Linked DNA regions of Caenorhabditis elegans. The protein of the gene in region 1 interacts with the protein of each later gene in a pairwise test. Each region holds a gene or a part of one and is shown on either strand. Other genes may lie near its edges.

The links. The genes of interacting proteins can lie anywhere in the genome.
Region 2: the proteins of dcp-66 (region 1) and ehn-3 interact in a two-hybrid assay, tested with the Caenorhabditis elegans proteins (one large-scale study listed by BioGRID).

The regions. Positions count from the first base shown.
Region 1 is NC_003279.8:7,540,429-7,544,183, forward strand, and holds the start of dcp-66 (Transcription factor dcp-66), read right to left. Parts: upstream 1,732-3,755; 5' UTR 1,584-1,731; coding exon 1,575-1,583; intron 1,220-1,574; coding exon 551-1,219; intron 230-550; coding exon 1-229. UniProt on the Caenorhabditis elegans protein: Transcription factor which binds to the 5'-CCATACATTA-3' motif found in the promoter region of pgp-12 and activates its expression in the excretory cell.
Region 2 is NC_003282.8:5,417,539-5,421,293, forward strand, and holds the start of ehn-3 (Zinc finger protein ehn-3), read right to left. Parts: upstream 1,685-3,755; 5' UTR 1,658-1,684; coding exon 1,616-1,657; intron 1,384-1,615; coding exon 1,294-1,383; intron 925-1,293; exon of another isoform or gene 904-924; intron 631-903; exon of another isoform or gene 610-630; intron 517-609; coding exon 292-516; intron 1-291. UniProt on the Caenorhabditis elegans protein: Together with the zinc finger protein ztf-16, plays a role in gonadogenesis, specifically in somatic gonad precursor cell development. This is possibly by regulating tra-1 gene expression.

The sequences.
Region 1 (3,755 bases):
TTGCCATAATGTATGCTTGTTTGGCAGCTGGTGATTGAGATGATAGTTTTTGAAGTAATTCGAGTTGTTGTGGAATTGAAAGATTCTTAAGTCCATTCATTGTTTTGTTATTTGACTCAATCATCGAATTCTTTCCATTAGTAACAGATTTTCCATTTGTAGCAACCGCTGGTTTATATGCTGCAGATGTCGCTTCAGCAAGATCAGCAGCTTTAGTTTCGGCGGCCAGCTGGAAAAAATATTAATACAAAAAAGTTTTGATCATTTATTTTTATTTCATACAGATTTCAGTTTCACAAAGAGTTTCCTTCACTTTTGTCGGTTTTTTTGAAAATGTGTGTTTTTTGAATGAAACATTTTATCAGCATAAAACTTGAAGCATTTCCTATTCTCAGATCATAACTCGCCGAAAATTTAACTACAATTCTCTCAGGGCAAAAATCCGGAATTTTTGCGAGTTTTATGATGAAAATTTTTTTAAACTATTTGTGAAGTTACACTTTTATCTAAAATTGGCGTTTTTATTTCTCGAATAGTGAAGAAAACGAACCTTGGTGATAGCTCTTGTCTGACTATCCTTCATTTTTCTCAAAACTAGCAATTTTGCCTCTTCTTCTCGTAACTGATTTTCAGCTTCTCTTCTCATATTTAAACGTTCTCTTAATTGTTCCTCATCCGGTTCCTTATTCTTCATTTTTTCATAATGATACCTCACAACTTCCATTTCACTTTCATGAATTGAAGAATTTTCACTCTCATCAGTCATTGCGTATACTTCACCTTCATTATTCGCACGAAGTCCAAATCGGAAACATGTTTGATCAAACTCTTTTCCATTTTCGAGTCTTCTTTTTTTTGGAGCTGATTGCTCATTAATTTCATCTCCCAACTCTTCATCTTCCATATCATCATCATCATTCGCCCGTTTTTGTGGTCCTTGTACAATATCATCTTTCAGTTTAATCTTTTCCTGAGCCTTCAGAGCACTTGCTCGTGTACTCCGCCGCCGTAGATCACTCGGTGAAAGTTGTAAATCATCGGTATCGATTGATGTTGAAGCTCCATTCAAATCTTTTGTAGGTGTTCCATGAAATAGAACAGCTCCATTTTGAATATGTGCAAGTGCAGCGACGGCTGTTGAAGCTGATTCTTCGATACTCAAACCATTTCCATTCTTTTCAGGAATCCCATTCATAGGTGACGATGGAACTTGTTGAACCTTTAAAAACATTGGGTTTAAAAAGTTATTCGAATTTTTTCAATTAAGATTCTAATTTTCAACTAAATTTGAGGTAGCAAAAATTTTAAAATTACACTAAAACTGTCCAAAAATAGACTGAAAATGCTTATTTTCTCATTTATTAGGGTAAACCTTCAGTCTTCTCCAAAATTTGTTATTTTTTGTGAACTGAATTCGGAATTCAGTAAGTTTTAATTTTAGTATTTAGATTGATCGAACTCGCTACCCCATTTTTAATGAAAATTACTTGACATAATAAATATTAAATTTGAATATTCCAAACACGAAATATTTTTTGAGTTCGTTTAATATAACTGTAAATAGAAACACCTACCTGTGCCATATTTATTGTATATAAATACTAAATAAATGGAATCCAGTCAAAACTCAAGTGGAGCGGAGCAAAATAAAAATCGATTAACACCGTTCGTCGAGAGCTTGCATTGGAGTCCAAGAGAACAACAGCAATCAGTTAGTGTTGAGTTTGTTCTGGAATAAAAGTTGAAATTATAATGTCACCGGCACTTATAGTGTAGTGTAAGAAAGAGACGCAGATTAGTAAAACAAAAGATTTGAATATCCAAAACGAGGTGGTGTCCGTGTGACGTCACATCATTTCACCCAATATAAAAGCAATAAGAGAGAGAAGAGAGCGCAGAGAAAATGGGGAATGATGATAGAAAGAAGATACGCAGATAGTGAGAGAAAAAAGCAAAATGTTATTAGGGAAAAAAAGGGAAGGAGGTTGAGATGATCATGGGAAAAATTAAGTTTTTTTTTCTTTTGAAATGTTTGATGAACGTGATCATCTACAACTCATCAAAAGCCACCTACTTTCTACTTTCTACTTTACTTTACCACACTACTTTCGTGTCAATTTTTCCAAGAGTTATTCATATTTCCCGTGGTGGAGAGTTGAACTCTTTTTCTAGTTTTGCTAGTTTTGCTTAGGCCGTACTGGAAAGATTCGCGAAACTCCATACAAAACAATTTAAGATTAGAGCAATTTTGAGATACTGATATTTGGAAATATTCACAGGTTTCTGGGTTCTTTGTGGTCAGAATCTACTAAAGAACAAATCTTTATTCAAAAATCGTTTAGTGAAGCAGAGGTCAACAAGAAACGACACAAACAGTGTTTTTTTTTCGAAAAAAAATTTAAAAAAATTTCTACACTTCTGCGACTTTAAAGGAGAGCGCATTTTTGTGAAATGGTCTCGCCACGCTAGAGCGCGTGGCGGGACCATTTCGAATAAATGGTCACCCCCTTTAAAGTCACAGTATTGGAAAAGAATGTTTTTTGTGTGCAATGCAGATGGTAATATCGTAGAATTTTTATAGTTAAAGAAAAATACAATGTGGCGAATTTTGTGAAAATACCAATTTCGAAACTATGAGGTTTAACTAATTTTGTACTGCAGGCTAGAGAAACAATACAAAATTATTGGTTCAAGGATCATAATTAGGTTGGAGATACGCAACTAGGTGAAGTCTCCGTAAATTTAACCTAGGATAGTCTGGAATTCATGAAACGGTAATCCACCAAAAACCATGTTAGCGAAAATTCAGTCCTGAAAGTAATATATTTGGAATAGATTTGGAAGAGCTGTGGACTTCTTTTCTCTTACAAAATGTTCTAGAACACACTAAAATGGTGGTGTCTTGCACCGACAAGTACGGTGGTAGTACTTGGCACATTCACAAATACAAACATTAAGCGCGTGAGAAACAAATTGAGATGACGGCGACGATGATGCTGATGAAGACTAGGATGAAGATTGAAAACCACTAGGAGCGGCTGAGGGTGCGTGGACGGACGGGGACGGACGGACGAAGAAGATGAAGGAAGGCGGAGGAGGACACATAAGTCAATCGATTATTTCTTGTTTCGCTTCATTCTACTCGAACAATGACACTCGGCCACACACACACACACACACCCTCACACACACAAAACGCACACACTCACTCTCTCCCTACTTTCTCTCTCTCTTTCCATCTCACACGGCCCGAACCTGACCCCAACTGGGATTCAATATAGGTGGTGCCAAGACGGCAGCAGCTGTCCAACTGAATATGCTCAAACGTCTAATCATCATGTCCTACTTGCTCTGCCAACATCGCAACCACTCTCCCCACGTCGGGAGCTGAATCTAAATTCGGTGTTGATTGAACACTTCTAGGTTCGAAACTCTATGTTTCGCGTTCAGAAAGACTAAAAATCTAACAAAACAGTGTTCCTACATATACAGTCTCTAACAAAACTTTTAGTTTCCAAAAAATAGAGCTAGGTGCGATGACTACTACTGATTATCGGATCATCGGAAGGTAAATTTCTAAACCAGGACACCGCTACTTTGAGATCATCACAACCGAAATTGTCTTCTAAAAAGAATAGAATAACCTCAAAATTACGCTAGGATCTATGCGTCCATCTAGAGTTGATGGCAACCTATCAGTATGCGAGATAAGTCGGTAGAAGAGAAGAATGAGAGATGACCAACTTCTAGAAAAA
Region 2 (3,755 bases), on another chromosome or scaffold:
GAAATTCAATTCAATTATGTGGAGAAGTTCGAGTATAGTGAATTCTATTTTAGATCAATTTTTCTAATGTTTTGAAGCTTTCAAGTATTTTCGATTGCAAGACCCAACGGTTTTCAAAATTTTACTTTTAGTCTCAAATGAAAAGTTTAGTCAACATTCGGCAAGAATCGGATCAAACGTAGGCTAAACTTAACACATCACAGCTATAACCTACTCGTAAGCAAGTAGCTGATGTAAAATCCAAATAAAAACAGTGTGTGCTTCAATTCTTCCACAGAAAAAAGTACTCACCGTATGATCCAGGTGTGCAGTATGAAAATGAAGCAGAAGACGATGGGAACTGTTGAACCATTTGATGCAAGATTTACATTTAGCTGGAGACGATCCTCTTATGATATGCTCCGAATCTACATGAAACTGCAAACTCGTGAAGCTGTTGAACTTTGAATTGCACGCTGTGATGGGACATTCAAAGGTATTTCCTTTCTTGATATGGGTCATCATGTGCTCTTTCATCTGAGTTGGATTAAAAGTTGAAGAGATTGTTTTCTAATCTGTTTAATGTTTCAAGAAATAATGCTTAATGCTTTATACTACTAGAAAGCTCGATCTTTCTCAAAGTATATTTGAAAATACAACTTTTCTTGCATAACTGAAACTTTCATATAAAAAACTGATGGTCAGATCTGGAAAAAGTAAACGACTTTTAACAATCTTAACTTTGTTTTCAATAAAAATATTTAAAACAAAGCTTTTAAATTTTCTCTAGCTAACAGTAAATTAAAGCCAACGTATCAGTACACATCCACAGAAAAATAATTCCCCTACATCATTTGGCATGCTGGGTGCTAATTCTCTTTTAATTTTTTAGTGCTTTGGCATTAAACATTTATTTTTGAACAGATTCGCAAATCACAGATACCAGTAATCGTAAATTGCATTCAGTGATTATTAAAAACATCATGAAACACATAATTAAAATTTTTGTGTCAATTTCTGAAAATCAATAACACAGATTGTTTCATTCTGCTTTAAATCTGATGTACGAGTGATAAATTGAGTCAACTTTTAGGAAGCTTTTTTCTAGCATTTTTTTTAACGTTTCGACAAAAAAATCGAGTTATTTGTAAGCGTTTGGAATAATTTCAAGTAATTAACTTTCGTAAAGTAGGTTACTTAGTGAATTTTTTTGGTCACTAGAGATAAAGCTTGTACTAAAACGACTAAACTTTATAAAGAAACTTCAATAAAATATCCTCTATACAAATTTATCGGAAAACCACAAGAACTAACCCGATCATTCCGAAAAAAAGGTCTTCTGCAGAACTGACATTCAAACTTCTTTTTTCCACTGTGCATCACCTTATGACGATTCAAGTTTGTCTGAAAAAATATACATGGAAATCAAAATTTTTCTACGATTTTAGTAACTTGTTTTTTGTTGCTTTTCGATTTGAACAATGTTGTAAATTGATAATTAAAAAGAAATTTTCTAAAGATTTGAGTCTTGCGTCTCAGTTTTTCAAGAGCCAAACAAGAAAGTAGTTTACGAAACCATAAGTAACCTGGTAGGCACTTTAGTTTCTACCTATAACCTTTAGTACTCTCCACTCACCTTATTGGAAAACTTCTGGTGACAAATATCGCATTTTTCCATTTTGTAATTTGGAAGCTGGGAGGAATAAAGTCAGAGAGTGTCAGAAAGTGACTATAGGATTTTCTATTCCAAACTTTGGGTGGAGCACAAATTGTTTATAACTTCTCGGGTACTGTCGAAGGTCATTTGGGGGAAATATACAATCCTAGGTGTCAGATATCTTAACAAGTCGGAGAAGAAGCACATCTTCCGACATAACAGATAAGCCGGCTGCCGCTACTTGCCAGATGGTTGGTGACAAACTGGGGTGATATATAGTCAGAGGTCACTTTCATGATTTGGAAGAGAAGGTAGCAAATATAGTGGACAAATTGATATTAAATTACAATTGGGGTCAATTTTAAGAACAGTTACAGTACTTTGGACTGTACGAGTAAAAAAATCCTTTTTTTTTTTTAGAATTAAATTTCCTGTTTCATAGAAAACATTTGTTTGACTGATTTTAAATGTTTCATTCGGTTTTTATTTATCTCTGTAAAGTCTTTTCATTATTGTTAGAATTCAGAATTTTTACAGATTCATGAATTCACTAAAATTTTATGAGTTTCAGGATTTGTTAGTTTCAACAATAGAATCCCCCATCTCCTGCAAAACCGCAAATCACGTGGCGAAAAAAAGCGTTTTGTTCATAGCGTAATGCTCTTCCTTCTTCCTAATACATTAACCATGGCACAAATCGAATAAATTAGCATAATGTGTCCAGGAAGAAGACGACATTGGAAGACGTTTCTGGAGAAAAAGGGAAAAAAGGAAATCAAGTTTTTTCTCTTTTACCTTGGATGTCTGTAATATAGGATTACATGCCGGAAGAAGGTGAAGAGTGCAAAAATATTAGTTTTTAATGGAAAATGCTTTCGATTTTAATGTCAGGAATCGAAGATTCTCCGTGATAAACTTCTGGAAATAATATTTATATTTTTAGTTATCGGCTTTTTGGTGTATGAGATCTGATTTATTCAGTATCCAAAGATAGCTGGAGAGGTCTTACTCAAGAAAATGTTTTCATTTATTTTCAAAAAAATATCACTGTTTCAACAAACCCTTAAAATCAAGCTATAAAAGGCAGAAATGTTTTCAATCGAGATAAATAGGCTCTGATATTTTTTCAGATCTGAAAAATAACTATGAGTTTGATGGAAAGAATGAATGCCATTTTTCAAATTGAACACGTTTCAAATAGTCCATAAAACAGTTAACAATTAATTAATTTTAATCGGGATCATGCTCGACCTCTAAACGTATTATTTCCAAAATTATCCGGTGAAGATTTAGATAAAATATTTAAAAATCCGTCACATTTTTTTCGCATTTTCCGAAAATTTCACAGTTTCAACATAGCTAGAAATTAAATGTATTTTAAATTCAAACTGATTGCAACGGAATTTTAAATGTGAAATATTCAAATGTTTTTAACGTCCAACAAAACCACTGTTTCCTCTGTTTACAGTTTCTAAAGTAGTCCAAAAACCGAAAAATGAAAAAGTTTTGATTTTATTCTCTACTTATTTTTTTGCTATTTTTCATCTTGTACCTTCTACATCATCACTAATTCTGTCTAATGCTCTTGTTGCTCTTCTTCTTCCTCTGCTCATGTTGTTACTTTTTCCTAATTCCCAGCTTTTTTCTCTCTGCTTACCAGTCTAAATAATAAAAATGAGAAATCATAAATACTAAGTTGAAACAAGATACTGCAAAAGTGATATGAAATTAGTTTTAGTGATGTAAATCTTTAACTGTTTCAATATCCTTGTAACTACAGTATACTATAGTATTGATAGTTTTGATAGACTTCCTTAACGCTAGGGCATATTTATGTTTAGTGGTTCTTCAAACAAAAAAAACGTCGCGGGTAGAATATTGACTTTCTTCTCCAAATCTTTCAAATATTTTTAAAATTTGACTTTAACGATTTGAGCCGCCTATTTCACAGCAGCTTTACCAACAATCCGCTCACAATTATGAAAATAAAAATGAAAAAAGGATTACCCCTTAATTCAAATTTTTCCCGGGGTCTATAAATGTTGCACAAAGTTGTTGGAGCGGGACCTCTTGGGAACCATAGGCTCCGCTCAAAAAGTGCCGTGCGCTAGATAGTGTT